3 linked regions of the Nothobranchius furzeri genome follow. The protein of the gene in region 2 purifies or fractionates together with the protein of the main gene of each other region. This does not show direct contact. Links are inferred from orthologs where the notes say so. Each region holds a gene or a part of one and is shown on either strand. Other genes may lie near its edges.

Region 1 (11,352 bases), on a different chromosome or scaffold from region 2:
AAGAAAAGACGTGACTCAGATGTTTGACTCAGACTTAGCTCCACACGTCCATCTGCTCTCCTCACACACCCGCTCCTCCTCCTGGAGCTCCCACAGCTCCATGTCTTTGATGCGCTGCTCCTCATAAGCTTTCTTGATCAGAGGGATCTCCTCCAGGCGTTTGGCTCTTTCAAAGTAGTCGATCTGCAGGAGAAACAACCACCGGAGTCATCCCTGGTTTCTTTAGCGAGGTGATCCTTAAGGATCTGGAGTTGGTGAAGCACTAACCCCCAAATTCCACTACCTCCGCCCTCGCCTTCTGCAGTCGCTCGCTTCCGAACTCAATTTTTACTGGTACCCGCTCTACAACGGCTCCGCTCCGGTGCGGAGACCTGAGGTGCGCAAACAGGCATGCGCGGGATTTTCGAGATCTTGCGATACAGTCCGAGCAATAAACGCGGAAGTTAGATCCAAACACCCGTTGTGTGGGAGAAGCATAGACATGAACTGTTTAATCTGCCCATCACTTGTGTTGAGAGATCAGCAGTGTTTGGATCAACAAAGTGTGTCTACTTTGATAGTAGAAACTGTATTTATGGCTTATTTTTGTGCATTTAAACTTCAACCACCATTGATAGTTGTTAAAAGTTGTTAAACATGTGCATATGAAACAAAAAACGCCTTTTGTTTATCGATTTATTGTGAAAAACGGAAGTTGTGCTTGCTCCTTTTCCTGTTGGGCCGTTGTGGTTTCTGTCCATCGACTGCGGAGGTGCTCCGGCGTCCGGCAAAAATAGAATCAATCCTATTTTTGCCGGATGGCGGAACGACTCACTGCGCCGCACGGCCGCAGTAGTGGAACAGCTCTGATTGACTACAACGGGACCGTTTTTGCTGCGGAGTTCGTGCCGGAGCGGAGATAGTGGAATTTTGGGGTTACTGTTAAATATTTATAAACACCTTTTTATCTTTATGTCAACATCAGGAATCCTAACGGGTTCATAGGGTATAAACACATCTCAGCTAAACCAAACACTAACTAGTAGTTGACCACTAGTCAACAGGAGTTCAGGGGTCAGGAAAAGACCTCTGACCTAAACCAGACGATATCTATTAACCTTCTTCTCCTGGTTCTTCAGACGCTCCTGAAGTTCTCTCTTCTCCTTCTCCAGCTGCTCCACCTGTTTAGCCATGATGAAGTCAGCATCCAGTTCCTGCATGTCCTGTTCAGATATAACAAATAAAGTTAGTCTGGCTTTGAAAATGCAGTTTGGTTTGTTTTCACCTGAACGGAACGTAAGATTTTACATCGATGTCGATATCTTTGAAGGCTTTGGCGCCAAGCTCTGTTTTCTTGATCTGCTCCAGGCGTTCGCGTGCCGTCTTCCTCTTGATCTCCACGTGCTCCTGCATGATCCGCTCCTTCTCCCGTTCTTTGGCCTCCAGGCGCAGTCGCTCCTCCTCGGCTTTGCGAACCTTCTGCATCTCAGCCTCCCTCAGCTCTAGCTCCTCCTTCTCGCGCTGGATGTTTAAGCTCTCCAGGCGCTCTTTTCGCTCTTCGATGGTCTGCCGGCGAGCCAGGATGCGCTGGTGATCCTTCCGGGCGTTTTTCAGATACGCAGCGATAGCTTGCTGATTCTGCTCGTCCCGTTCTTGCTGAAAAATGACAAAAAATCACAAATAAAGATGAAAACTGCTAAATAATACACAAGAATCCCAGCTTTACAGGGTTGTCAAACCCTTTGTGTTTCATATGTGAACGGACCAGAATGGACGTGGGTTTGATGATCTGGATGGCTTTAGCCAAAGACGCAGACATGGCCGTCAGCTGATTCCTGATCTGCTCCGACGGCATGTTCTGCAGGAACGGGCCCACTGGAGAATCCTCTTTGGTGGAGTAGTTCAGGTCCGAGCCGAAGCTCAGAGTGCGAGACGAGTGGTCGATTCGAACCTACAGAGCAAACAACACTGAAGCCATCCCTGCCTGTTGCTATGGTAGCACCCGAGTCAGACTCAGACATTTAAAATATCTCGTTAGATTTGATCCCACCTGGAGGTCACAGTGCCGCGCGGCGTCCACGATGGAGCGCTCCAGCTGGAAGGCGTCCACAAACGGCACTAGGGAGGCCAAACGGCTGAACTCGATGCTCTGGTAGATCTGAGCCACCTGAAATAAATAATAATAATACAAGAACACGAATGACAACCACCACCCAGTTATTGGCAGGTCTTATTGAAGAAGAGTTTCTACCTGCTGCAGCAGCCGGAGGATGGTGTTGCTCTGCAGGTGAGGGACGTACTGCTGCAGATCAGACTCCTTCTCAGCCTGATCTCTCACCCAGTTCAGCACCTGATGGGAGACGACGTCATGAGATGCAGCAACAGTTCACTAGCAGTGCTACGTGCTGCCATTGCAGCTTCATGACTGCAATGATCACCTTGGTGACTCTTCCGCTCAACTTCAGAGGATGAAAGTCGACCTCCAGCCAGTTGTAGAGCTCCTTCACTTCAGGCACCACGTACTGCAGCAGGTTAAATCTCACCTGAAACATTCACACGGGAACAATAAATAAACTTTGTCTTTAAAGATTCAACACATATCCAAGTTTGATTGTTTCAGATTTTTGTGACAAGCATGAAAAGTTAAACTGAAGCACCTATTAAACCTCAGAGGAACTAAATATATGCTCCAAGCTTCAGATTCCTCACCATGTCATTGATGAGGCTCTGGCGCGTCGGAGGGGACTGAAGCCCGAGGAGCGTGGCCAGCCGGCGGTGTTTCTCCACAATGATGCCGTCCATGTCCAGCAGCCGGGCGATGTCCGTACGCTCAGGGGTGATGGGGATACACAGAGTAGCCAGGAGGACTCTGGTGGACATCCTGAAGGTCAAAGACAGAGGTTATATCCCTGTTTTGATTTTGCAGGGTTAAAGTTAGAGAACAGGATACCGCTGCATCTCATCGTGGGTCAGATTCTTGCGCATATCCCTGGACAGGTGATAGAGGCGGTGCAGGGTGCAGGCGTGAAAAAGAGCGTTTCCAGACTTCCAGAAGACAGTAGACACTTTATTGTAGTAGTTGGCCATGAGCTGAGGTTTTGGAGGCTTCTTGGAGAGGGCAAACAGGCCGTGGATATCCTCAACAGCCTTAAAAGCTTCCTGGTGACACCAAAACAAAGTGCCAGGAATCAACATCGGCTAATTGTTTTTAAACTTCAGAAGGATCCACCTACTAATGCAGGTGACATTACTGGTCGTTAATGATCAGTGCAACAGTTTTATTATTAATAAACCAACAGAATTAGATCCAGTTAAAAAAAATGAGCATCCGAGCCGACCTGCCAGAGCTCCATGCTTATGGCGCTGTCCAGCTGCACCAGACGCGTCTCCAGGTGCATGGACTGGCTCTCGGGGTTGTTCAGATTGATGGCGGTGCTCTGGTTGTGGTGTCGCTGGATCTGACCCAGATGCATGCGGAGGTTGTCACACAGCTTACGGAACTCTGCTTTGCGGGTGTACTGGAGGCAGAATTTAAAAGCTGCAGAAGAAGACGACGACAAATGTTAACTCTGCATGGTTTTCGCTCAGCTGCAGCCAATCCTGTCGAACCCGCTTTAACCTGAAAACTAAACTAAACAGGGCCAATAAACATAAGGGCCACACATAATAAAGCTCTCTAGTCAAAATGTACGTTTGGTGTCAGACATATTTTACAGTAACCTGCTCTCTGGTGTTCAGGTAGAAAATGCACCAGTTTAACCTGATAATTCTCACAGCCTTTCACCTCTGACAATAACTCTCAGGGATTCCCTTACATAGGCGTAGCCGTGGCGGTCCGCCGCGGCTGAAATCCCACCTCCACGCCTACAAGATCCCAAGTTTTTTTTTTGCGCTGTTTCCCGAACAAGCAGCGGGAACTACTATGTTGTCGCTGGTGATCACAGCCGGCGGCAGCAAGGAGCAGGCAGGGCAAGGTGAAGTTACAGCATAAGTTACGGAGTTTAAAATTAGAAAGGTAGCAGTGAACTTAATGCTTTGTGGTTTACATGTTTCAACAGCATTAAGATAAACGAGTGTTGACGATCTTGACAGGGTTTCCTCCAGTGCTTATTAGGCCAGGTTCTCCTCCCCCCACCAGGCTAAGCATCACTTATTTATGTAAAATTTATTTATTTTTTCATGTCTGACTTTAACCGCATCTAATACTGTATTACGGCGTGAGCACAACAGCGACAACTTAATATCGATGTTTGAGCAGCCTGAGAGGTCGGGTGTTTCATCTGAACCCTTAAAACCTCCAGCAGGCTACGCTGCACTATTGACGTGTTAGCGCCGCGCGCTAACAACTTAGCGACGTGACATGTCTCGGAGAAAGCGTAAAAACACTTTGGATGCTTCTTCTGAAGCGGGAAAATAACACCTCTTCTTAGGCAGAGCACGACGTCGCCTCGACTGAGCTTGATAACATTGACCCAGCACAGCCACTGGGTCGTTGGAGCTGCCCCGTCGACTGCCTGATGGAAAACCAGCGGGTTTCATCAGACTCGTAAAGTTTCTTGTTTTTGCTGGGGACCCCCTGTATTTTACCGCTCCCTCCTGCAGTTTTCCCCTATTAACATTTAAAATGATTCTGTAAATTTGTGTATCAATAGAAACAATCTCTGCCTCTGCCAGCTGCAGTAAATGTAGTCTCCAAATAATAAATAAGAGGTGCATTCATCTGTGTATCTCCTTTGATCCGCATGAGTGATGTTTTCAGCACCAGAACAGAGAAGCAAAGAAAGATTCCTGAGTTTGTTAGTAATTTTATTTATTAGGTGCATCTAACCTGTTCTATTTTTCTCTGAAATGAGATCAAATCAGTGCTTCTATGGGTTGTCTCCAATCTGCACTGGAAAATTTTACTTTATTTAGAGACGTGTCATAATTTCTCCCCAAGCCCCCCCCTGGCCGGCCCCACCGCCACAGCTGGAAAAATTCCTAGGGGAAACACTGAACTCTCATAATAAATGAGACTGAGTGGGCATCTTCTTTCCTTTTGGATGGCAGACCTGCCAATCTTGTCAAAATTTTTTTGAGTACCACTTGTGCGGCGTTTTTTTCGCGGACTTTTGCAACTCCGTTGCTTTTCACGCTGTAATCTCCCCATTCACTAGATGGAAAATTACACACACACACACACACACACACACACACACACACACACACACACAGCTGCCTCTGGCTCTTTAGTCGCAGATTTATTATTTTTTTTTCACTCAGATTTCGGCTTGAAAGTTCAACAGTGAAAGTAACGTTACGCGTTCACATTCACCAAAAGACGGCCGGTCCGACCCGCTGACACACACACACACACAGTTTACCTTACCAGAACAGCAGCGAGTGGCGAACCGGAGGGAGAGAGGAGCAGCGGGCAGGACGAAGCAGGGAGGAGGGGGGGCGGGGGTGTTACGCTATAGGCTAGGCAGTTAGCTCTGTTTTTTCTCTGCTTCTCTACGATGATTGGCTTAAACTTCTTCACCACGCAGCTGAGTCGTGTTGTCAGACATGAGTACCACATGTGCATATTTGCCACAGAACTCAACTCGCGTATCCGCAGCTTTTTGCGTAGTTTAGAGGGGTGAGTCGTACCAGCGTAAATAGATGCCAAATTGCGTACTGGCTACGCAAAATGTGTACAGGTTGGCAGGTCTGGGATTGCTTTTCCCTCCACACACACGTGTCCAGTTACCTTGCTGAGCGATGTCGTGGTACAGACGCTCCACTTTGGAGTTGTTCCTCAGCAGATCCAGGCACTGGCGGTAAGACTCCCACAGGAATTTCACCCACGGCGTGAGCAGCAGGCGATCAGTACGATCCTGAGTGTCCTCCCCACTGACGGCACTCAGAAGGACACTATCATCACAGAATTAAAATATATATTTACTGTGATCAATAGCGATGGACAATATATCAGCATCGCTATTGGCCCTAAAATTTCATATGGGTGCATCACAAATACAGCTTTTCTACTGGAGTTATTAGAAAAATCGTTTTAAAAGAAGCCAGCCGTTTCACCTTTCTGGTGTCTGGATGTTGTCCAAGTCCTCGATGTCCAAAACCATCTGCTGGGACTCTTCCTTGGCCGTCTCAGTCTTTTCTTCTGCCAGCTTTAGGTACGCCCTGACTACATCCTCCAAAGACTTGATGTTCACCTGACGGAAAAGAGGACACATAATCAGGAATATTCCGGTGTAAACAACAAGCTGTGAACAAACACGACATTTATTCTTCTTACACACCTGCTGACAGATGTTTTTGTACTGGTAGAGGCCCTCTTTGGCCAGGTGGCTCTTGCGCAGATCCACGCAGAGCTCCAAATACTTGAGCATGATGGGTTCGTGGATCTTCTGCCATGTTCGATGTTTCTTACTCTTGATGACATCGTACAAAACATCCAAGGCTGGCTGCTTTTTGCCCACCTCCAGAAACTCTGTGTTAACACATTTCAGGGAGGAACTTGTCAGAGCACAGAAAGCCCACTCCAACGCTTAACTAGACCTAACGTAGCTGCCATGATTAACATGTGTGCGCCATGATTAGCACTTGAAAACCCAGACAGCCTCAGTTTAATGTCATTATGGTTGTAGGGCTGATTTATTAGCATCAATCAGTAGCACAAATGTGGCCTTGCTAGTTAGCTACACAGGCTGTAAGCGGAACGCAGCGACTCGGTATCCCCGCTTTAACCGGTGTTGTGTCGAAAGAGGCACCTCTTTGGCAAAAGGCGCACTTGCCTTCGGACTAGTCAAAGCGCGACGGGTGACGGTTTTTCCAAATTATCTAAACGATTTGTGCATTAATGAATGACAACTTAGGTTAAATTAATCAGTCGGAAGATGTAAAGAATATGGAGCTTTTCCAAGTTTCACGCTTTGGAAAAACAGTAAAATTGTAACTACATTTGTAAAAGACATAATTAATGTAGAGAACGTAAAATACACAGGGCAGATTGTTGGTTACGAGTTTCACGCGCATGTTGCAATGTTAACAACTTTCTATGCGCTTTCCGTGCTTGGAAAAGCGCTGGGTGCCATTTTCAGCACAACACCTACTAACGGCCAAGTAGCCGCTAACGTCAAGCTACCAGGCTAAAGCTAGCTAGCATGAATCCATCTCATCTGTCACACGAAGCCGGGGATCTACTCACCGTTCGCTCGTTTCAGAGCATTCTCTGGCCGCTGAAAATACGCCGGCATGTTGTTGCAGCTCTACTGAAACTCAAAATTGAGTGACTTGATTACAATTTCGACGAATTTCACCAGTTCATCCGAACCACGCAGTCACAGCAACGACGCTAGCCGAGAAAGGAAGAACCTCGTGAACGTCCAGGCTAGGGTTGCCAGATGCGACCTCCTTACAGCAGGACACCATGATGAAGAAAAGTAAAAATTAAACATTAACATGTGTGTTAATAGCTAAAGGCGTACACTGTGTATAATACACACTTTGATTAATTTTTTTTTGTTTACAAACATTTCAAAAGCAAAATTTCAAACGAATGTTATAAGTTATACATTTTAACTATAGCACGTTATTCATAAACTCCCACATCTAGACAATACATTTATTTAAATTAAAGACATAAATTTATTATACTATAGTGTCATTTTGGTATATCAAAACAAAAACAAATAATTAATAGAGCTTTTCAATTAAACACGTTCAAAACGGAGGGTTTTTAAGCCAACCTGGCATCCCATGTGAGTTGGAGCGGGGATGCTCCTTTTGGTGATGCGTTCAATAACATCAAAATAAAACTTAAATCGGTGTTATAACGGTGCATCATAGGAAAACACAAGCTGTATTCTGTTCAGATTATCTTAGTTATGAATTTTTGTTTGAATATAATAGCTCAATGTTGATCGCGTCACTGTTAAATATTTAACAAATTATTGCCAGTATCTTTTACTTGGAGATTTAACATAATTCCAATTACCACGAACGCACCGTCACAGTACCATTGTAATTGGCAGAGAATCGAAGCTCCGCCTTCACATTCGTTGATCCCGGAAATGAGAATACGTTCCACACAGACACGAAAGTCTGTTGCACAGCAGCTTAATTTTTACCCAAAACAATCATCCAGATTTAATTGGTCAGTTTTTTGGAATCAATGCAGCTTCTATTTTAGCATTGGACGAGCTCCTAATGTACTTCTGACAGATTTTTCTGAGCAGAGAGGACGATAGTTGGTGTTTTCTCTCCAGCTAACTTCTATATGGAACATGACAGCAACGACTGGGACGCAGTTTATGTTGAGCATCGGGTTATTCGGTAAGTCCGAGCTGTCAGATCGGATGTGGATGATGTTTGTGAAACTTGTTTCAGCGAAGGTTGACTTGGAGGAGAATCACATGACATCAGTGTGGCAGACGGAAGAGGTTTCGTCATTCCCATCATCGTGTGAACACGCAGAGGGAGAGGAGCTTCTCTGAAGGATAAAGAACGAGGAACATTGTAAACATGACATGAGCACAAGAAAATTAGATTACAACCGAGTTCTGCATCAAATGCAGGTGTGTTCGTTTTGACCAGCAGGGGGCGCTGGTGGACACAGACTTTACAGTCACTGGGATGGTTTGCCAACATTAAAGGAACAGTTCAGATATTTTTAAGCTTTAATATGTAGAAAGGTTATGAGTGGCTAATATCTCACCTGTTGGATTTACTTTTAGGTGTAACACGCCTGGAAACATCACAATATTTCTGTCAGAGTAGGAAATATTCTGTGGTTTAAAGAATTGTGACGACATAAATGGCTCTATTATCACTCCCTCCCATCTTTTGATCCTTCCCCACCTCTCCCCTCCCTCTCTTCTTACCTTAATTCCTCCTCCTCCTCCCCATCTTTTTGACAGATGAAGAAGCCAGATCTCTCTCTCTCTGTTTATCAGTCGCCCTCTTTCCCTCAGGCAGGGGGTTGAGCAGCTCTGCAGCTCTTGAACTTTGACCCTGGATCTGTCCCTGATGGTTGCAAACATTACCATCTGACATGCTCAGGTTGATCTTGATGTTCTGTTTCCTCCACCAGAGAAAGATGTGAATAAAGACGTGCTGTGGGTGTGGTGCTACCCGTCTGTGAGCCCGGAGCTCAGGCAGGTGCTGCTCAGCAAAAGCTGCCTGACTCAGGATGGCTGTGATTTTCACACGTTTGTGTTCGGTCAGTTCAGACGCAGCTGGTACTACATCACCACGGTGGAGGTGCAGGAGCCCACGGCTCTCACCAAGGTATGGAGGGAGGAGCACGTAGCTTCTCTATACCGGGAACATAAAATATCTACTTCTTCTCCCCACAGGTCACAGACTTTTCAGTAGCTTTAACAGCAAAAGACTTCAACCCTGAGAAGTACGCCGCTCTTAATAAAGTTCTCTGCAGGTGAAGATGTTTTTCGTGACCACGATCTGTGCTTAGCGGTCTAAATGAAACGTCTGGTCAGCGTTTACCTGCTGTTCTCCAGGATGTACCTGAAACATGGCAGCCCAGTGAAGATGATGGAGGCCTACATCACCGTCCTCACCAACGGCATCTGTCAGAGCGACGAAAACGGCTCCTTCCTCATCAAGGACTACGACGTCCAAAAGGCCTACCTGGCAGGTTCAGTTAAAGGTGAGACCTCGCACCTTCCACCAGTTACTGTTAGAGCCCCACTGGTACCAGTTTAAATACCTGATGTGCTCAGAAGCAGTTGTTGTTGTCGTTTCTGTCAGTTCTTTACCTCCCATCAGACCTTCTGCACGCGCACACACACACACACACACACACACACACACACACACACAGACACACACACACACACACACACACACACTGCAGTTCCACTCTCATCCACCAGGGGCTGGCTCCAGAAAGGAGACCGTTCCCATTGACTCCCATGTTAAAAAAATACCAACTTCACAGCAGAATAAACATATTTACAGTTTGGTTTAAAATCATTTTAGGTTTAATAGATCTAGTTTATCATCATGATAACTCTGAGGGGGGTGAATCTCTTTGTAACTCATCTGTTTAGATGTGATTAAAGCTTGAAATTATGAATAATTAGGGGCGTGTCCTTTAGATTGACAGGTAGTAGATGAGCTGTCAGTGGCAGCAACTCGCCCTTCTCTGCTCCAGGGTAGGCCTCAGCCGCAGCCTCGCGTTACAAGTGTTACAGCCTAGAAGGTAGCAGAGTCGCTCAAATGTTATTTCCTGGCTAAAGACACACCCGCCCCTGTTAGCTTCAGTTAGCTTGTAGCTACATTGGCTCTGAGCTTAACTCATTCGCTGCCAGCGTTTCTCGCCGCTTTTGCTGTTTTTTAAGAGTCACAGAACGTTGCGCACTAGGATGATGTCAACGACAAAACAACCAAAACAAAGCGGAGACTCACCTCTTACATCAGGAAGAATCCGCGCGTTTGGAGCGTTATCCGTTCTTTCATAATCCGTTGTTGAATTGTGATCGGCAGAAGCTTTTCCGGTTCGCGCCTCACTTTTTATTACAGCAGCGGCCCAAAACGATCTCCTAACACATGGATGTTCTGCTTCCTGATCACGTGACGTGTGACGTACGCGGATGAAGATCGGCTTCAGAGCTGAGGTGCGGGGGCTCGTCCGACGACCACACAGTAAAAAAATGCAAATGGCGACTTTAGTCGTCCTTGGCAGTGAATGAGTTAATGGGTGTCAGTCATCAGCCCCCATGCTCACGGCCCCGCTCTCAGCTCCATTTTTGTATTTCCTGAGATGAGACGCGTGACGTGGCTAAGATGGCGGTGGGGGGAACCGCCCACTGGGCTTCAGTTCAGCGCTTTCGTACGAGTGACGGTGCGGAGGGTTCGTCCGCTACACACACAGTCACCACACGAGACCGATAACGATTCACCAAACTACAGATGTGCAGTTACCATGGTGACCCTAATGAGGCAGTGGCAGCAGCTTCAACATTTCTGTTGTTTGTACATTAAACGTTCGGTCGTAGTTTACATAATCATAAAATGATCTCTAATCTACTTTTGGGATTGTAGAATGAATTTTAGGCAGAAATTAGAGTTTAGCTCCAGAATTTTACCAGAATTAAAAAAAAAACAATATTACTTGATTCTAAAAATCAAAAGAAAGCCGACAGAAAGCTGTAATGCGCCGTTCTCCCGCTCTGGTTTCAGACGTGGTGTCTCAGTTTGGCGTGGAGACCATCATCTTGTACACCGCCCTGATGCTGAAGAAGAGGATGGTGGTCTTTCATCCTCGAATCGAAGCCTTGTTGGAGTTTACGAGGTGAATCCTGGACTTTAACCCCCGCTCGAGGCGAGGAGCGTCTGGTTCTTAACTCTTCCTCTTCTCTCTGAGCAGAG
Region 2 (10,604 bases):
TTTATCGTTATCGAGGTGAAACCTTGAATATATCGTGATATTGATTTTAGGCCACATCACCCAGCCCAGGGGGTCGGCAACCCGCGGCTCTTCCATCCATCTGATGCGGCTCTCTGTGCTTGTAAAATAATGAATGGATATTTAAATGAAATGCTTTATATTTTACTGAATTAATTTTACATCTGTGTGCCAATTCTAAATGTAAAGATTGTCTGCGTAAACCTGAACAGTTCCAACCCGGTCTTACTGTGAGACCGGGTTGACGCGTCACGCTTGTGCGTAATCATATCGGCGCTTTCTGAGCTGAAGTGGACGTGAGATTCTGGGCTTCTCCTCAGATGGCTCCTGGATGTGTCGCCACATTGGAGACAGGAACAAGCACTATTCAGCCAAAGTTCCATTATCAGGGAACATTTTCTAAGTGACAAGTCTCGCTTCAGTGGGAGGAATCTTCCTGCAAGCGCTCTGGTTCTGCGAGGCGCTCCAAGCCCCTCTCCACATCTTCAGCTCGCTGTGCACCATACGTATGCGCTGACAGCGAGCTGCGCTGAGCAGTGTCCAGCTCAGATGTTCAGATGGGAATCTTTTCTTGAGTGATTTAGCTACATCTGCGATGTGCATAATGAATATAATGTCAGTTTGTCTGCATGCGTCGGGGTAATGCTTTCTATTCTTTCTCCGTCAAAATAAACGGTCAAATACGGGAACTGTCCGGTCAACACAAGCCCTGCTTTTAACTGTTCTGTTTTCTTGTGAAAATTGTTGCAAAGAGATATAATTTAACTTGATTAACACCAGAGCCAGGCACACTGCGCCGTTATCTCCGTCACTGCAAATGAGGGAAAAACAAACTGATCGGATCCTTTTCTGACCTTCCCCACCTACAAAGTTTAATTACAACAATCAAACGTGACAGATCCTGGATTTGTATTCTGAACAGTCTAAACATGTTTTAAAAAGAAACGTATGACAAAAGTGGCACCTGCTCAGTAAAACCACCAACAGGGTGAAAAATATCAAAATATTGTAGGCAGAGACGGGCTACAACTTCTGGATCCATTTTATATAAATCGTTTTATTGATTATCGTCTTATGAAAGATAACTGACGTACACGAGCGACCGGTACTGGCTACTGTCACCTGTTGTGATTGGTTAAAGCAGCTCTCTGCTGTCTGAGGGTAGGCCCCGCCCACAACGCCGCGGCTGCTGTGGCTCCCAGAGTTTTCTTTACTGTGGGAAACGGGTAATAATAGGGCTGGGGGTAAACGATTATTTTTAAAACGATTATTCTGACGATTATTTTATCGAATAGTCGACTATTCTAATGACTATTTAGAAAATTAATCTAAAGATTATTTTTCTATTGCACAATTAACAAAAACCAGAAAATCTCAAATAAATTCCTCAAAAAAATTGATAAATTCTTACTGTAAGAGAATAAACACTACAGGCCTTCCATTTTGTATAACACTGCGTTTATTGTGTTGGTTGGTTATGTTCTGGTGACATGTAGAACTTGGGAGTGCAGGCTGCTGCCTGAGAGGTGGTAGAAGATGGAGTGTCTCCATGCTGCTTTGTTTTGGTCACTTATGTGCGTGAGGCGAGTGGTCTTACGGGTTAAACCAAACTCAGGTGATATTTTAAACTAAACCGAAAACCCACAACACTCTAAATGTAATAAAAGGGAGATCTACACCACAAAAAAGATGAACTCTAAACCAAAACGTAACAGCTTATCCCAACGCAAGAAGCTGTTAGCGAAGATGCTAACAGTAGCTTTACCAACATTAAGTCCAAGTTACCAAGTTTAAATAAACCAAAAACACCCGGCAGCAAACAGACCAGCATGGAGGAGAGACTGCTACCACCAAAACAGCTCTCCTCATGTCTGAAAGAAGCTCCTTAATGAAGGGAGAAGCGCTCCCGGTGATTTTCTACATCTGCGGTAGACACGAAGCAGCGCATCTGACCCCGGAAGTTGTTGTCCGTTGCCGGGAGACGAAGGGGCAAAACAGGAAAATAATCTAGTAGTGGACGGACATTGTTCCGAGTCTTCGGTATTTGGCGGAGATGTTAGTGAAGGCGGAGAAGAGGGCGAACTAGAGGAAAAACAGGCAGATTCCTCCTCTATTTACAAACTCCTGGGGATGCAACAAGTGGGCGCGGTGCGTCGACTTCCGGATCTGACGTCGACAAATTTTTAGAATCGAGCCGTCGACTTCGTCGAGGCTTCGCTACAGCCCTAGGTAATAATGGCTCTTTAATGGGAACAGGTAGCCGACCCCTGACCCAGCTCTATGACATCTCGTCTACCACTGATTTACAACACTGATCTTTTTATCACAAGCCGGGAGGAAACAATGATTACTGCCTATTCTCAAATCTGCAAAGCTCACTGGAAGGACACAGACCGAGGACAATATTTTCCTGGTATAGGGTTTATTACTCAAGAAAGGGTAAAAAAAGTATCTGATTAGAAGGCTACTTGAGTACCGAGTGTCATCTGATCTAATATTTTTAGAATGATGACATCAAACAGACAAAAAATAAGAAGTTATGGGCAAATATTTATATTGTAAAGACTAAAGGGGAAAAATGTAAACAAATAAACAACATAATTACAAAATAACAAATTTTAGGCTAAATCTAGACACAAACTGAGGAAAATATTTTCCTGACATACAGGGTTTATTTAGTTGTCTGAAAATGTAACACGTTTAAAAAATACCGCGATAATACCGAAAACCGTGATAATTTTGGTCACAATAACCGGGAGGTTAAATTTTCACACCGTGACAACCCTATGGTGGAGTTGCTAATGCTAACAGTTAGCTTCTGCTAGCTAAGACGTTCTCTACCGTTTCCTGGACGCTAAAACAAGAACAGCCTTCCTTGTCGTGAGTCAAGATGGGTGAGTCCATGTGTGACGTAGATCTGTCAGGCTTTTCTAATCATCAGGAGATAGGTGTAGGAGACTATTTTCATGTTCAGCCTGCACGAAAAACTCAAGAGTGACCGATTATAATCAGGAATAATCATTTAAAAAAATGTTTTTTCAGTGAACCACACCTTTAAGGGAATGTTTATGTAAAACAGTAAAGAACATGTTTTTATTCTGAATGCAGGTTTGGTCAGAAACAAACCGAGCAGCATTTTACCTCTTCCTTGCTGTGAAGATTCACTTCCTGTGCGGGATCGTTCACCATAAGTTTCCTCATTACGCCAGCTAGGGTCCCTGAAAACAACAACCGTTTACTTCTCAAAACATTGGATATTGTTTTAGCTTCAAAGCAGAACTAAAGTTGGTACAACACTTTTATTAAATCAAAAAACTCGCTGGAAACCAGTACAAAACTGTCAATTATTTCACTGCACTTTTACTTGTAACGAAATAACTTGCTGTCGAGTGACAGATTGCTACATACTTGATGACAACCTGACATGTTTAATCACAAACTCCAGCAAAAATCCTAAGCAGATGTTTTAGAGACACATGTTTTGGCATAAAAAGCAGAAAAACAGTCATCTCTGACCTGTCCCTCATCTTTCTTTCAGGTCCTCTGGTTTTGTCCTCTTCTAGCTGCCTCTGCAGCCTTTCTTCTTCTTTCTTCAGCCTTTCCTCCACCTCTCTTTCCTTGGCCGCTGTGTCAACTGGTTTTGCTCCCCCAAATATGGAGGAGGCCCTGCTGCCGGAGCTGGGGGCGACGGCTGGAGATGTGCTCCCGCTGCTGCCGGTACCTTCCTCCTCCTTCGGTACGCTGCGGGGCTTCAAGTTCAGCTTGGGTCTTTGCTGAGGAGCTTGAGGGAAAATGTGGAGGTAACGAAACCAGATTAGAAGGACTGAACGCTGCAGAGACCCGGTCTGAAGAAACAATCATGTAGTCAGATTTAAAAAAACAAAACAAAAAAAAACTTACCTCTCTCCTCCCGTCGCTCATACCGGTCCTCCCGGTCCCCATAATGATCCCGCTCACCGTAACGATCGCTGCTCCCCCGACCATCCTCGTAATCTCGGCGGAAGCCGCTACCAAAGGCACGACGACTTCCTCCACCACGAGAGTCGTAGCCTGAAATGAAAAATTAGGGCCGATAAGAAACAGGGAAACCTGAAAACATCCTGCTGGAAAAAGAAAACCTGAGAAAAACAGGAAGTCAGGAGAAAACCAACACACGTCTAAACCAGCTCACCCCCTTGACTGAAGTCCCTGCGGTCCTTGTTGTCGTAGCGATCCCTACGGTCCCTGTCATCATAGCGCTCCCTGTCATCATAGCGATCCTTACGGTCCCTGTCGTCATAGCGATCCCGGTAGCGGTCTCTCCCACTGTCATAGCGATCATTATCTCGCCGCGGGCCATCTCTGTAACGATCGGACTCGTAGCGGTCCCGTGATTCTGCAAACAGCCGACAAGTATTCCATCAGATGAAAACTAGAGAGGATCTTAGATGAGTAAAACAGGATTTTCTCATCAGGTTCAAGCAGGAATATCTGAACGGAAACAAAGATCAAACAAAACCTCTGGACTTACTTTCTCCAAACGGATCATCTCTCCTTGGAGGTCCGTCATCAGCGTCTGCACTGGGTCGAGCCCTCCAGTCACTGTCCGTCTTGTCAGGACCCATGTCTGCCATGCGTCCACCCCTGTCCCTGCCTCCCATGGACCCACCGTCTCGTTCTATGATGGAAAGATGAAATGTGTTTTACTGTAACAGTGGCAGAGTTGTTAAGTGTGCACTCTGTAATCAGAAGGTTGCAGGTTCGAACACCGATCAGTCTGTTGCTGTCATTGTGTCCTTGGGCAAAACACTCGACTCGCGCTGCCTGCAGGTGGTGATCGGAGGGACTGGTGGCGCCAGTGCTCAGCAGCCTCGCCTTTGTCCCTGTGCCACAGGGCAGCTGTGGCTACAGTGTAGCTCATCACCACCAGTGTGTGAATGATTGTGTTGTAAAGCACCTTGGGGGGGGGGGGTTCTAGAATTCTAGAAGGCACTCAATCAAACACAGGCCATTTACCATTTTGCATTAGCAGCAACTTTTTTCATTGGCCATACCAATCTAGTTGGGTTGTAAACACTGCTCCTGCTAATAAAGTTGCAGACTTCAACGTAAGACTCCGACTGGGCTGCACACCAGAACCAGCATTACAGAAACCAGTAACACCAGTCTCACACAGTCTCATACAAGATTCTAAAACGTCCCAACTAAAGAAATAAAGTAAGACACCGACACGTGACGAATGTCACATTTTGGCTCCAGAAACTGGACAGTGGGACATTTCATGAAATCTTTTTTCTTGTATTTTTCATGTAATCTTTAATTTAAAAACCACATTTTTTTAGGCTAAAAGCAGCAGCCGACACGCACCTTTATCGTTAGATTGGCCTGCAATATCAACACGAATCCTTCGATTCCCCAGGTTCTGTTGACATAAAAAGAAGCTGGTGAACCCTGACTCGTTTATTTAAACAAAAGACTTCAAATATATGAAAATAAAATAAATTCCACAACATAATTTTAAGGCGAGGTATTAGTTATAAGGTTGAGTTAATGTCTGAGATTCACCTCTTCATTCAGGCTGAGGGCACTCAGAAGAGACTCCAGGTCATCAAACTCAGCGTAGCCGAATCCTTTCAGCCTCTCTGGGTTGTTGGGCTCTCGCGGCAGGCGCACTGCACTGATCTGCAGAGAAAGCAGAAGAAAAAAATACCTGAGCCACAGAAACTTGAAAACCTAGTAAACATGAATACAAATATATATATATATATATATATATATATATATATATATATATGTGTGTGTGTGTGTGTGTGTGTGTGTTATGGGATCCTGTCAAAACAGTAAACAGAAGTTTCACAACACATATCCTAAAATAAAAAATGATACCGTTGTAAGATCACGCCAAATTTAAATGCCTGCACGCATTTCACGACCTTGAAAAAGCTTTTATAAACGTAAACAACCACTAGATCACAACCCATGTGTCGATGTGTTTTACACCCCGCTGAAGTAGAGGAACACCTACTGCCAAGCCGCGGAAGAAATCTTTAATGGATTCTTCGGTGACTTCGTAAGGCAGGTTGCCCAGGAAGGCCGTGTAAGGCGGACTGCGGGGCAGTTTGGACCGGTCGATGTTTGGCTCACGAGCAGAGCGCGGGGCCGTGGGCAGGGTGGAGCGGTCGATGGGCGGGGCCCTGTACATATCCTCCTCCGTGTGCCACGATGTCGAGACTGAAGAGACAAGAAGCAGAAGCTCTTTAGAGAAAAGACATCAGGTTTTCATTAAGACCGACTCATCAGAAAGACTTGAAAGCATCTAAATAGGAAAAATTTGGGGATTTCAAAGTGTTCAAAATAATTTAATAAAAAAATATAAATGAATTAAACTTAGATTTTCTAAAAGGTTAGAGTGACGATTAAGGGAGAAACTTTTTCATTTGAAGCTCTTTACATTTTGCTCAGCTGAGTGTTAAAAATCAAAAGTGTCGGCTCAGGTCTTCAAATATTCAAAGTAAATTACAAAATTGTACAACATACAGATAATTAAGAACCAGTAATAAATACAATGTAAAGACACAAATCAGATACATATATTATCTGTCAAATATAACAGAGGTGTAAATAATACTTTGTTATTGCTGATTTGAAGTGACACACTTCGTGTGTCAGACAAAAGAAAAGCAGCTGCTGCAGTTCTTTTATTTTTCCACTTATTGTTAAACTAGAAGCAGCAGCAAAAAAACAACTGCCACAAAACGGAGAACAACACAACATTACAATGTTAATGGTCACTGCAACAATCACAACTCACAGATATTGTCACCATCTTTCCTAGTAAATATAATTATTATTATAATAGAGCCCCCCTCCCAAAAACCTACACATTCACTTTAATGAATCCAAATTATAATTTCATTTTCTGGTTAAATTTTAAATGTGTGACAGAAATAAATCCAGTAAACTATTTTTATGTTCCTGTTCTGGACCATTCTGAGAGGTTTCAATTCTTCCATGTAGAAGAATAGTAAACAAAATTGGGTTATTTTTTATTAGGCTAATTTATATTTGTGTTACAAAGATTACATCCTGCATGCTATTACAATGTCATGTTTAGTAAGACATTAATATCTGGACAATAGTTTCTTTAATTGTAGTAAATTGGGTCAAATATATTGAAAATAGTCATTTTTAGATGGATCTGTGAAGTTTGCATAAACCAAGTAGAATGATAATATGCAAATAATTGGCTCAATGTTGAAATGGACCTCCACACTGGCATGCAATCCTTTTAGTATCAGTGTCTTGTTATAAAATTTGATTTATTGCAAAAATAAAGAGATAAAAATGATTAAAACTATCTTTCCTTATGGTCAAAGCTGCAGAGCCACACGACCCCAGAGCTGCAGATCTGCTTTAGATCCAAAACATCTGAGAGAACGAATGTTGTCAGATTTAAACCTAAGCCGTACTTTAGTTTACAAAACGCAGCAAAGTGATCGTTATCTTCTTGATCAAGTCTTTTTGATGCCATTATTGACACTGAACACTGCACAAACGAACATTTGAAAGGTCACAGCTGAATAAACATCAACCTCACAGAAACGCTGAAAGTGAGATCAGCATTATAAAAGCTAGACCAACTAGTTCCTACAGTTAATGAAACTAAAGAGGTTTCCCCTAAACTCAAAACCTCACCAGCCACTCGTGTGTTTGACCACACATGCTGACTGATTCACCACAGTGCTAAATGTGTTTAGCTCTCAAACACACATTCAAATTATAATTACAAACAATATTTCACTACAACAGTTCCAACGCCTTGAACTCTAACGGTTAACCCATACACACATGGGCACGCACACACATGATGGAGATTTTGCTTTTGCATCAACATTCTGCAGAGTGGATACAAAAACAACTCGTCATGCAGAACCAAGGCATACACACACAAAAGAATCCATTCCTACACGTCTGGCACAGCTGTATTCCATGTTTTCTTTTGTCTGTTCTGAACAGGAAGTGAACTTTGGCGGGCTAAAACTGTAAATGAATCATTTAAATATAAACTTTATTGGGTTTATTGTTTTCTCATTCAGAGCGTTTGAATGGTCGTCAGCTAAATGAACCAGGCTACAATCAATGACTCAATTTGAAATTCACTTTGCATTTGTTTAAACTTTATTCACATACAGTTAAAATGTATTTCAGAGTTCTGCCTCAGATAGACAGATTTCTGTGTTGGTCTCACCATCTCCATCCAAGTCGTCCGTCTCATCAGCCCAGCTGGTAGACTTAGACGGGTAGCTTGGGGCTACATTAGGATTGCCGCCGCTGCCGGCACCGTCTTCGGCCAGAAAGTCATTGAGAGTTAGGGTCTTCCCCTTCTTATTCTTCTTCTTAGCTGGATGAAAGACGCAGAACACAGTTGGCTTTGTTACAACACTAAACACATGAATAAGTGCGTTAAAACAGCAGAAAACGTGAAAGGTAGAGCTGCACAATATATCTTAAATGTATCGTCATCACAATATAAGCATGCACAATACGCATATCGTAAACAGAAAAAATAAATCGCAATGAATGGTCAGCTCAAATGTTTGCTACACATCAAGTATTTTGTCAAACGGAAGCAAGAAGTTAGTGACTAATAAAATAAAGCTCTTCAGCCAGTTGGCCAATCGGGTGGGTTCTCATAAGTTAGATGCCTGCCGCCATCTATCTTATGACATCACTTAATTTGGATGGTTAGCAAACACCGGGAGTTAGCTTCATTCTGCTCTTTCTGCTTTTCCCGGGATCCACTGATCGCCTTTTCTTGTTCAGTTTCTTTTCCCCTTTCCTCACATCTCTTGATCTAAACTTTTGCCTCACCCATTTTTTAATTTAAAAAAAAATATATATTTTTTTTACATCTTTGATTGTTTTTGTTCCTGAGTTGTTTTTATTTACTGCAAGTCATATTGTCATTGCAATATTGATCACTGTTGTCGCAGGTTTTCCTAATATTGTGCAGCCCTAATGAAAGGTTTATGGGTACACATTTAAACGTCTATTTTACGTTTCAATCTGTCTTTATTGTAAACATACGGACAACACAGTTACACCCCTGTAAGGGGTTCATAACTTTGCCCGCCTGTGCTCGCCAGTGTCATTGTAGCCAAGCTGTGACATGCTGTCCAGCTTCAGCAGATAAGAGAGGCTAAAGCGCATGAGTGATAAAAGCACACACTTATATCCAACGGTCACTGGGCTGCCAGTTAGAAGAAAGCTGTGAGGCCTTTTTAAAATAGTCAAACTTCTTAAAGAGCCTAAATAAATAATAATATATTCCAAATTTCTGAAACCTCTCACTTGGTTTAAAGACAGCAGGAGCTCATGTCTTTACGACTAGATAAAGAAATTAATTAAGCAATAAAATAAAGAATTAATAATCATAACCAACTGGAAGGAAATCATTTGTCTACATTCACAAGGCGGTGACGTTTCTTTCCCACAACGAAACATTCCAGATTGTGTGCAGCCAGCAACAGCTGCCCAGGGGGCTTCACTCTGCTCTGGAAACAGGTTAGATTTGTTTTAATCCCAACTGTCAGTGAACTACTCATACATGAAATTACATTATCACTAGGGCTGTACAATATATCGTAAATATATCGTTATCGTGATATCAGCATACACAATATGCATATAGCAAAGAACAGATAAATATTGCATTGAATGTTCAGCTCAAATGTTTGCTACACATAATGCATTCTGTCAATCAAATGAAAGCATTATGTTTTTTAACAAATCAAATAGAGCTCTTCACCCATTTGGCCAATTGGGTGGGTTCTCATAGGTCAGATGCCCGCCCCCGAGGCGGGCGGCACTTCATTTTGATGGTTAGCATACACCTGAGTTAGCTTTGGTCTGTTCTTTTCGCTGATTCTGCTTTTCCCGGGAGCCACTGATTGCCTTTTCTTGTTCATTCCCTTTTTCCCTTCCTTCACATCTTTAGCTTTTCTCATTTTTATAAATTTTTTATTTCTTTGTTTTTGATTAATTTTGTTCCTGAGTTAAGTTTTTATTTATCGTAAGTAATATCGTCATCGCAATATTAATCATTATTATCGAATATCGCAGGTTTTCCTAATATCGTGCAGCCCTAATAATCACACATGGTAACAGTGAAGGTAAGTTTCACACTCTAAAATATTTGCAAAAAAGTGATGATAAAAAAAGCATATGCCCACTTTAACGGCTGGTACTCTTGTAATAACCCACCATGCAGCCTGCTCTTTGATCTGCACTAATCTGATTCTACGGAGCTGGATTAGGACTAATTTTCCCTTTCTGTAAAAGCTAAAATATCAAAATGCACTTAAATTTGTTTTGGATCAGTTATCCTACAAGGAGCCTAAATCACACCCATCTACTTCCGGACCATGGGTCCCCGGAAGAACGAAAAAATGAATGCAAGTCAATGAAGCTAAAAGACTATTTTCTAATTCCGCTTGTTTTGTGCCATGGATTTCACATATGATGTCTGTGAATTTTAAAGACACATTTTGATAACAATGACACGCTTATTTTCGAACAGGGGGAAACACTGTTTTAGATTTTGTGTG
Region 3 (10,120 bases), on a different chromosome or scaffold from region 2:
GCATCTAATATGGCATCACCCAGAGACTTAGACCTGCTCCCATGTATTTTAGACCTGATTTTTGTGGTTATGCGATACGAAGCCCCCAATATTTTTCAACAACATTTTGATGGATATTTCCAGGAATTAATGGTAAAAACTACACATAGTCTCTTTAAACAAAAAGCAGTACCTAAAACCCCACTCTAAAACCTACGGGAAGCCAATAGAGACACGCTAGAAGGAGAGTGATATGACTGTGCCTATTTGTGTTAGTCAGGAACCTAGCTGCAGTGTTCTCTACAGTCTGCAGCAAGATCTATCTGCCAGGTAGGAGCGGAACCAGTCAAGAGTAGTGCCAAAGACCAAGCCAGGACTCAAGTAAATCCAACAGAACACGATGGTCAACCGTACCAAAACCCGCTGAACGATCTAAGAACAGCAGAAGTAAAGATGCGGTCTGAATGCAGATTGAAACACAACTAATAATAAATTTCAATCCATGTGGGCTATAATTCATTTTCAAATGAAAGTGTTTGGTCCTAAACTGTTTTGGGATTCTCCAAGGAAGTTCTAACAGAGATTATCAGAAAACTACAAGAGAGGGAAAAGTCCCCAAATTTCAAAAATGTTCTCATAACATGAATTTGTGATCATTGCAGTTTTGCTGCTGTTTATTAACACACACACACACACACACACACACACACACACACACACACACACACACACACACACACACACACAAACACACACACACACACACACACACACACACACACACACACACACACACACACACACACACACACACACACACACACCTTTTTGTTTTTGTTCTCAAGACTATTCTGTCTCTCATGCTTTAACATGTCACATTGTGCTTATTTTATTTTATCTGTAGTGTCTTTATACTTCTTGTGAACTGAACTAAGTCTGAAATAAAGATTACTTGATTTGATGCTAAAACAGAATCTTTATGATTGTTTATTCAGTTATTTTCCCATGCTGAAATCTCCTCACCTAAGTGATTCAAAGCACATATGTTCCTACTTAAATTAAATTCTGTTAGGTCATTTACTTTAGGTAGCATCTTGCTTTGTTAGCTGTGTGTTTGAGGAATGTTTGGCAGTATAAATATTTTCTGCAGGATATGTTTTGGGCAATTTGAAGGAAAACCAGAATTTCCTCTGACATTTATTCAGCTGAGTAATTACTGTAGAGTTTTGCTCTACAATAAGTTTAGGGGATGAGCATCAGTTTAGTCATTTCAGCTTAAAATATTTCATCACAATCAAGTGGATTTACTGAGATTAAACTGGTGCATTGTATTTATGTAGCTCTGATAGGCCAAGTCAATCTTTAACTGTTATTTATTTTTAATAAACATATTTGCCATCATTGCATATGGTTATGAGAAGTTATCATCTGGGTCAAAACGGTGATCATTATTAATGTTCTGAAGCAGCATAATAACCGCACGATGTGCTTGGCTGCTTTGAGGGGGACCGTGGGAACCCCGCAGGCTCCGGCCGGGGCGCTCAGCTGTCACGGAGATGTGAACAAGCAGGGAGGTGGAGGGGGGATGGAGGCTCCGGACCAGGGCACCAGGGAGGATTCACACCCCTCTGTTGTCTGTCCCACATAACATCTGCTGTCGGCCGGGGGGAAATGACGTCTAAAAAATAACGGGATAAGATCCAGCCGAGCCAGGGAAGAACGTGATTTCACTGACAAAATTATTATTTTTCTATTTTTTTCAGCGTGGAAAGCCAAACTCCTGGCTTACAAGAGTCTGTTTGGTGGAAATGTAAATCCTTAACTCACTTTTTTTCCTACTGCCACGCGTTAAGCACAAACGCTCGCGAGCGCAGACACGCGCACAAGAAAAACATAAGCGCGTGAACTTTAGCTATAAATAAGTTCAACACGTGTATTCTTTTGTAGCTTTTTCTCAGGCTTCTAGATCACAGGTTTAGTTTATCTCTGAAGTAATTCATCACCCTGACCTTTCCGCGGAAACGGACTTCTCCCATTTCACCGACCGTCCCTCATCCGAGTGGTCGGTGTCGGTTTTCTCTCTAGTGCAGACGACGCCATGAAAGGCGAGTCCATCTGCTTTCACCCACCTTTGATCCTCCGTATCAAGATGATGCGTCCCCGAGGGGCCACACAAAGCCCAGTTGTGTTCCGTTCGTGCCCCCTTTGCACCGGGAGCATCACATAACAGTAACGTTCGTTAGACAACTCGTCCGTCTGGAGGTTAAAAAAATAACGAAAACTAACAAACGTGATGAAATGAGTTTTTATCTCACCCTGCGTTTGTTATCCATGGTTCCGTTCAGTCGGTTCACTCGGTGTTCCAGCTCTCCATCTGTCCGTCTACCGGTGATGAGACCGGGTGGGCTCCTCTTTGATTTAAAATCTCGCGAGATTTAAAAACCCATCCGCCGAACACTCGAGATTTTCTCTTCTCTGGCTTGTTTTACCTTTACAGATTATTTCGGATATTTTTGACCTTGTAATTATTGAAAGAATACTACTCCAGTTTTGCCTTTCTTTGTGAACTACTTCACACAATATTTTAAGTCTCTGGAATAATTAAGAAAACTGCCACGATTTATCAAAAATATTGCAGATTCCTTGTTTTAAATATGCCTTGCCATATAGCACAAAAAAGTGCCATATTGTTGTTTTTGTCCTGCTCGTTTGTAAAAAAAAAAAAAAAAAACCGACTCACTCTTTCTGTACCAGAAACTGTTATAACAAGTTCAGACCTGTTTTGTAAAATGTATTTAAAAAAAAAAAAACCTTTGCAGAATAATGACGCCATTTAATGGGCAATAAATTACTCCGAACTTTAAACAAGAGTTGCTTTTTGTTTAGGCTACATGATCAGTTTGAGCTACATTATTTAAAGGAAAATCTCATTTATACTTAATACTACAAATATACTACTTGAGCAATACCAGAGTTGAATGTGTCCCTTACAGTACGCTGCTGTTCTGGAACCCAAGTTTTTAATTTACTTTGCAATAATAGCACCCACTATGTGTATATACATGTACCTTCTCCAAATATTTATGCAAATGTGCCCCAAAAAAATCACTGCAAGTCATTTAAACTGATTAATATTATTGCATTTATTCAATAAACACCCAGTTTGAATTATGCAGCTATCATCATGAAAATACAATTAAATACAAAACCTTAAAATAATTTTAACTGTTTGATCCACTAACAAAAGCAGCAAATAAGCTTTGGTAGCTTTTTTGTGAGTTATGCTTTAGAAAACCTTTAAGTATAGCTTTGACTGTGAGATGACATCGCTAAACTCCAGCTCATGTCCAAGCTACTTGTTAGGCCTATCGGGAACTATACTAGATTAGTTTGCCGCCTATTTGTCCAAGTATTTCATCTCTTTGGCAAGTTTTGGTTCTTCCCCACCTCCCTTGCTCATGGGGTTCCACAAGGTTATGTGCTGGAGTCAATACTGTTCCTCCTTTATCTGCTACCCCTTCAGCACTCTGAGGTCCTTTTAAGGAATCTCCTACCATCCTCATGTAAATGACACCCAACTGCACATCCTCTTTAAACCCCATGAGATGTCCAAGCTGCAGCTGTCACACATCTGCTCACTCCATTAAAATCTGGATGGCTGGTAACTTTCTACAGCTGAATGAAGACTGAGATCCTAATCTGTGCCCCAGACAAGCTGGTTCTCAGAGACTGTCAGCTTGTTTCTCACACCAAACCCTGTCTGGAATCCTGGTGACCTTTGACCCAGCTCTTACTTTGGACTACCATGTCAGTTCTCTAGATCGCTCTTCCTTCTTTCACCTCAGGGACATTGCTAAACTTAGCCCTAATCTGAATTTGTTATCCACAGATTCATTCAAAAACCCTTTGTTGCATTTTGACAAATTTTAATAAAACAGGACAAAACTTGTTTAAGACACAAAAACAGAACAGAGGAGTACTTGTGTTAGAATGTTTATTTAAAGTTATTCCCACTGCGCACCCCCTCCCTGTGTGAAAGCCTAATCTGAAAGGAGGAGGATACAGGCCACTATAACGCCACATCAGCACATTTGTTGACAAGGCTACTGGTTTTGACTCAACACCTTCCTCATGCACTGGTTTGACACTCTGTGCTGCGCTGTAGCAACACACCAGCATGATGAGGCCTGTTCAGAATCAATCCCAGGAGGAAGAAGGTCCACTAAGATAGGGCTGAGAGTTTTGACTCCAACCAATGTTTAAAAATGAAGGCAGTTTTACTAAATTTCCAGTTCCACAAAGAAGAAAATGGCAATTGTGAGGCAGAGAAATAATTTGGATAGCTTCTCTTTTTCCTCAATGTGGCTGCTGATCCACAAGACGTTGATTTGATGATGCCACTAAAAGAAAACCTGAGGCTCGAGACGAACCCAACGTTTGTCACAGTGAGGCCGTCGTCCTTCTCCAGTCAGTGACACCGCTCCTATCCTCTCCTTCCACACAACAACAGATGGACTAAAGGAAGATCAGAGTAGCACCAAATCACACCATTGATACAGACACCAAGTGCAAAGCAACTAATTATAATAGAAAGAAAATGGGCTGTTCCAGTTATTCCAGCATAACACTGGACCAAAACACCAGTGGCCATGTTTGTTACACGTATCAAGTGTTACCTGCGTAGCGGACTACAGATCTCCGAGGGGAATGATTTCTTCGTTGATAAAAAACTCAATGGTCTCCTCCTCCCAGTCGTCCACGTTGCTGTCAAGCTCATCAGTGTCCACTCCTGGAAGACCAAACCATCCAAATGTTAAAATGAAGCACAGAGGTCATCGAGGTCGAGCTTGTAAAAGCAGAGCCCCACCTCCTCTGAGCTCAAGGCGGAGGTTCTTCTGTTCTTGATAGTTCTGCAGCGCCGCCTCCCTGTAGTTACGGTACTCCTCCATCATGGCTCTGCGCTTGTCCACCAGCTCCTACGCTCACAAACACACATTTGTATGACTTCAGCAGTGAAGAAAATTAAGTGTCGGCAGACTCAAGCTTTCAAAGATGAAGGAGATAACATGAATGTACAGATCTGTACTTCAATGAAGAGTAAAATGTCAAAAAGGAGGAACAGGTCAAACCTTTGAAGCCTTGGACTGGCTCAGACGATCCTTCTGCTCAAAGATCTTTGAGTATTTCTTAAGATCCTTTTTGATCATCTGCAAGGGAAAACACAAGTTAATTAGGACTGTTCTAAAACAAGGAGGTTGAAATGTCATGTCAAGTATTTATGAGCCTCAGATCAGAAATAGAATCAGGAGCTGGAGTGCAGCTCTCATACGAGGTGTCAGAAAGTTTTTATCTGTCATCACCGGCTCCAGACACACATTTTACAGGCAAACTGGTACCTTAATCTGATCTATGCTGAGCAGAGTGGGAGGTCTGGGCCTCCAGAGCAGCTGACAGAACCGGTCCTTGTTGTTCTTCTGGAGGAGACGGCCCTGGAAGGTCCATAGCCAGTACGCGTTGTCCACCTAGACAAATGAGTCCAAAAGAAGGGATGAGTTTAAACAGAAGAGAAGAGCGAGTGAGTTTGTGGAAGCAGGACACACCTTGTGGCTCCACCAGGAGACGGAGGTAACGACGTATCGGCCGGTCGGGTCCCATTCTACGTCAGAGGCCATGTAGTGCTCTGCTATGTTCATCAAGGTGCAGTCAGAGGTATCCACGAAGGCTAGAGCGCCGTTCATACTGAACACAGAGGCAAAACAAAGACTTGGTACTGGGGCAGGTGCAAGAGGTGAAAGGTGAAAGAAAAGATACAAGCCTCAGAACAGCATTAGAATCAGGAGCAAAGCTCTCATATGAGGTGTCAGAAAATAAAGTTTATCATCAGCGGCTTTTGAGAGAAAACACACACACACACACACACACACACACACACACCCTACCTTCTGAGTCCAGCCAGCACCATAAACTGTCCCTGGGGGCTCCAGAAAATGCTGTTTGCCTGCTGTTTGTCAAACATTTCTGTAAAAATAATAAAAATTACAAGAGGGAGTAAAGACACTAAAAAAACGACTTTCGCTCATCTGCCCAACCAACTGACTTATGAGCTCGATCTTCCCGTTGTTTTTGACGTGATAGAAGGAAGCGTTGATTCTGGGAGACTCTCCGTGGAGAACAGCAAACTTGCTGCCGTTGGGCTCCCAGGCAAATGCGATGATGCTTTCTAAGAAGACAGGACACGAACGGATCGCATTAGATTACTTCTATAAAATAAAACGGTCAAAAATAGATGCAAAAATGCTTCTTTTTTTTGCTCTCACCCTTCATCTCCACGACATCTACAGGAACCTGCTTCTCTCTCATTCGGAAGATTTCAAAGTTGGTGACAACACCCTGGAACCGAACAGAGATGGGCCTTTTATCGTAAATCCAATAAGATATAAAGACAGTCTATCTCTGGCTGCATACCTGAGTTCCTTTGGGAGTCCTGTCCACTTTCACACACAGATAATCTCCATTTCGCTGCCAGTGCAGTTTGCAGTCAACTACATTGAAGAGATTACGAACTCTGATCTCTTGACGAGACGGCATCTGCATCAGGGTGACTCTAGCTGGGATGTCTTTGTCCTCTGGTACCCAGAACGCTATGATGTTGTCACCAGGAGACCATGAGAAGTCCCTGTGGAAAGACCAAACAAACTCGAGATTCACATCAATATAACAATAAAAGTGTAATAAGCAACAATTCATAACGAGATTAAAAACTCTTACTTGATGCCATTAATTTTGAGACTCTTCTTGTCCAACAGGCCCATTGACTGAAGGGAAAAAACACACCTTTAAAATTAGGGTTGGGCATCATTTGATTTTGAACGATTCTGATTCCAATTCCAATTCCTCGATTCAATTTCGGTTCCTATTGATTCCTGATTCGGATTCTTTCCAGACAGTCCATGTTTTCCATGAGCCAGCTAACCACAGGTCCTACTCGATGAAATAATCTTAACTTCAACATGAATTTTAACTCTATGAACAACAACACCTTCATTTAGACAAAAACATGTTTTGGAGAAAAAAGAAAAACACTTGCAGCACAACCAGTGTGTTTGTTTCTGACCACAACCAAAGTCTGGAGGAAGCCTCTGGGATGAGAGGCTGAATGTCTCCAACATATCCAGAAACGTCCAGCTGTTTTCAGCTAAAAATCTCAGGATGATCATGTCCAGGATGACTGAGAGCTACACCTCCATGCTGCTGCAGCATTCAGTCAGAACAGGAAGTGGAACTTAAATGTAGCTGCTGTCAGTAACAACCTAACAGATTTTAAACATAAAACTCAACAGAAATAGTTCAGAAAGGAAATTAAAATGTTCACAACATTGTGTGTGATTTATTATAGTTATTTATTGTGGCTGGTGTGGTCCACCACAGAGAAGCTGCTCTAGCATGACTTTAATTATTCTACAGGTTATTGTTCAGCCTTCTGACACACACACACACACACACAAACACGCGCATACACACACACGAGTGTTGGTGAGTGGCTGCGTCTGACTGCTGACGCTCCGTGTGTGTTTTTATTTCTGCAGTGAGACAAACTCACCTCACACCATCCAGAGTTTGTTCTTTAAAGCTTCTATTAAATCCACCGTGTTGACGTATTTTAACACGTTTCCTCTACGCTGCAGGAGGTAAAGTTTACGTTACGGAGTAAAAGTTCGGCAGAGGCGTTTGTTTATATTTGGCCGCTGCGTGCAGGGTGGGTGAGGGGAGGAGACTCGGTGCTGCACACAGACAGCTGGTGTGATCAGCTCTGAAAAGCGTTGATCACAGATTGCAGATCACGTTTATTTTTCACGGAGATCAGCCGCGGATTCCTCTTCCGGTCGGCATTCTAGGAATCAAAACTAGGAATCGAAATAAAAAACTTTGAACGATTCCGGGAAAAACTAACAGTTGAAACCGGTTCCAATCGATGCTCGATACCCAACCCTATTTAAAATCATAACTATTATAACTATATATATCATATTTCATTAAAAAAATGGTGCTTCTTAATTTACTTACTGGAGTTTCGTAGATGCTTAACGTGTCTGTGCTCATCCTAGCAAAGAACTTCCCATCATGGCTCCACCTGAGAGAAATCCTGTCCAGTTAAAACACACCCAAACATAAATCTGCATTTAAAATTAAAGAGAAAGAACAAAAGTAGTGTTCTGACTTAAATATGGGCCAGTGTGCCGAGCTCTCGCAGTGGAAGCCTCTCTTCTTCTGTCCAGTCAGAATGTCCCAGATGATGATAGCCTGTGGGTCCTCTTTGGTGTCCATCAGTGGACTGAAGGTGACAACATACCTGCAGGAACCAACAGCACGTTTTATAAAACTCAGTAAAATCAGTTTGGCTAATGCTACCTACAAAGCATGGTTTGTGTTTATCTTTAATGTTTTATTTCCAAGTCACTATAACTAACAAACAGGATCTGCTAAATCACTTTTTCATATTTTATTGATCATATTTTCTATTAAAAGTGTATGCTGATGTGATTCCCCGCCGGAAGAAACATTAACTGCAATAACATAAAAATAAAGATCACTTCTACAAGAAACTAGGCAGTTTTGGCTCGCTTTTAGCACCCCCTAGTGTTTGTAGAACCGAAAGCAAAACTTATCGTCTCGCTGTGCGTTCGTTCTTTTAACACCTTAATCCAACAGCTGAAATGTCTCCCCAGCTTTCATTAGAGTTTATAGGAGTGATCCATCACTAAATTAAACAAATAATCTGTGATCATTAGGGCTGGGCGATATGGACAAAAACTTATATCTCGATATTTTTTAGCTGAATTCCGATATACGATATATATCTCGATATTTTTCCTCCTGTAAAATATTTACAAGTTAACTCACTTCAAGCTGTCTTGACAAATTATAAACATAAATCAGTAGATTAAATGCATAAAAATGTACTGATTCTTGTCAAACTCTAACCTTAGTGCCTACTCTCTACCAGTCTGTGCTTTAGAAACACTGGTACAGCTGTCAGTTAACAAACACACACACACACACACACACACTTGAGAGCTGGAGGTGTATCAAATGTCCCACAGGCACTTTTTATTTATATATATTTATAATTAATGTACAATTAGTCATCTAGAGGTGGCCCATATCGTATATTTATTGCCCAGAGAAAAAAAATCTATCATGTTAAACTAGATGTATGATGATGTAATTGCATCTACTGGGTCACGCACAGTGGAGTTATTAGTTATGAGGGCAAACATGGCTGCAATCTAACAGTATTGACTCATATCAGCGATTATACTGTAGTGACTCAGTCTCTGGTTGCTCTTTTATGGGGAGGATTTGCATGCTATTGTCGCTGTAACCCACACCTTACAAACTCTGAACTTTTTCAACTGAATCGCTCGTAATGGAGTATTTACTAGCATAGCTAACCAGAGCGGAAAAAAATCAGAACAAAATTTCTCACCCGCTGAGCTCGCCTTCAAAATAAAACATTAACCCTATAGTTTACTATTCTACCCTTACAATATGTTTGAGGTGATTTGGCCACTCTGGCTACATGTAGATGTTTCCCGATTACACAGGGGAGGGAGGTGTTTGGCTCGTCTCCGCACGAGCAGGATGGATAAACAGAACTCCGTTGGCGTTGAACGTCCCCAAATAATTAAAAACCAGGACGCCAAATGCAAAGTTTAGAACAGCACATTTACCCAGAGGCTCTCAGATTGAGCAATCTTGTGAGAATAGCTGCTTAGAGACAGAGCGACATGTCCCTAGCATAGCGGCTAATCGCTAGCATAGCCGTTTGACCAGTTAAATCGATACAAAAATATTAAGTCATCTTATATCTTGTTTAATAATTATACAGATATTTAAAAAATATTGATGTATCGCCCAGCCCTAGTGTTCACGATCTAAAACATAAGGGAAAAGGTCCGGAACCAGACTGCAGCGCCAGTTATGTCAGCTCAACTTTTTTAAGTCCCAACAGAAGGAATGTTCTGGCGATAGGGTCTGGGTGGCCTTTCATTAAACCTGTAAAGGGTTATTTCAGCACACACTGGCTCAGGAAAATTATTTAAAAATATGAAGAAGCTGCAAAGTGTCCCACAGAAAGGAA

What was found.
Region 1: the proteins of eukaryotic translation initiation factor 4B (region 2) and eif3s10 purify together in Homo sapiens (co-immunoprecipitation; 3 studies listed by BioGRID and IntAct, with this or other methods). This does not show direct contact. The link is inferred for Nothobranchius furzeri from reciprocal best matches to the Homo sapiens genes EIF4B and EIF3A.
Region 3: the proteins of eukaryotic translation initiation factor 4B (region 2) and eif3ba purify together in Homo sapiens (affinity purification with mass spectrometry; 3 studies listed by BioGRID and IntAct, with this or other methods). This does not show direct contact. The link is inferred for Nothobranchius furzeri from reciprocal best matches to the Homo sapiens genes EIF4B and EIF3B.

Annotation. Positions count from the first base shown.
Region 1 is NC_091752.1:6,769,034-6,780,385, forward strand, and holds the start of eif3s10 (eukaryotic translation initiation factor 3 subunit A), read right to left. Parts: upstream 7,351-11,352; 5' UTR 7,218-7,350; coding exon 7,169-7,217; intron 6,452-7,168; coding exon 6,261-6,451; intron 6,174-6,260; coding exon 6,037-6,173; intron 5,875-6,036; coding exon 5,711-5,874; intron 3,518-5,710; coding exon 3,318-3,517; intron 3,139-3,317; coding exon 2,930-3,138; intron 2,861-2,929; coding exon 2,689-2,860; intron 2,523-2,688; coding exon 2,418-2,522; intron 2,330-2,417; coding exon 2,231-2,329; intron 2,147-2,230; coding exon 2,030-2,146; intron 1,931-2,029; coding exon 1,745-1,930; intron 1,636-1,744; coding exon 1,288-1,635; intron 1,203-1,287; coding exon 1,098-1,202; intron 184-1,097; coding exon 70-183; intron 1-69. Other genes in the region: dennd10 (DENN domain-containing protein 10), read left to right, coding at 8,247-8,295, 9,053-9,249, 9,318-9,397, 9,480-9,628, 11,164-11,275, 11,351-11,352. UniProt on the Homo sapiens protein: RNA-binding component of the eukaryotic translation initiation factor 3 (eIF-3) complex, which is required for several steps in the initiation of protein synthesis.
Region 2 is NC_091743.1:53,286,667-53,297,270, forward strand, and holds part of eukaryotic translation initiation factor 4B, read right to left. Parts: intron 8,399-10,604; coding exon 8,246-8,398; intron 6,229-8,245; coding exon 6,023-6,228; intron 5,680-6,022; coding exon 5,563-5,679; intron 5,420-5,562; coding exon 5,365-5,419; intron 4,676-5,364; coding exon 4,529-4,675; intron 4,394-4,528; coding exon 4,190-4,393; intron 4,069-4,189; coding exon 3,919-4,068; intron 3,800-3,918; coding exon 3,535-3,799; intron 3,237-3,534; coding exon 3,160-3,236; intron 1-3,159. UniProt on the Homo sapiens protein: Required for the binding of mRNA to ribosomes. Functions in close association with EIF4-F and EIF4-A. Binds near the 5'-terminal cap of mRNA in presence of EIF-4F and ATP.
Region 3 is NC_091744.1:16,229,977-16,240,096, forward strand, and holds the end of eif3ba (eukaryotic translation initiation factor 3 subunit B), read right to left. Parts: intron 8,330-10,120; coding exon 8,198-8,329; intron 8,111-8,197; coding exon 8,044-8,110; intron 6,795-8,043; coding exon 6,748-6,794; intron 6,656-6,747; coding exon 6,445-6,655; intron 6,370-6,444; coding exon 6,297-6,369; intron 6,200-6,296; coding exon 6,077-6,199; intron 5,998-6,076; coding exon 5,919-5,997; intron 5,869-5,918; exon of another isoform or gene 5,791-5,868; intron 5,719-5,790; coding exon 5,580-5,718; intron 5,502-5,579; coding exon 5,376-5,501; intron 5,345-5,375; exon of another isoform or gene 5,260-5,344; intron 5,187-5,259; coding exon 5,109-5,186; intron 4,956-5,108; coding exon 4,847-4,955; intron 4,769-4,846; coding exon 4,668-4,768; 3' UTR 4,656-4,667; intron 4,495-4,655; 3' UTR 3,957-4,494; downstream 1-3,956. Other genes in the region: carbohydrate sulfotransferase 12, read right to left, coding at 2,109-2,199.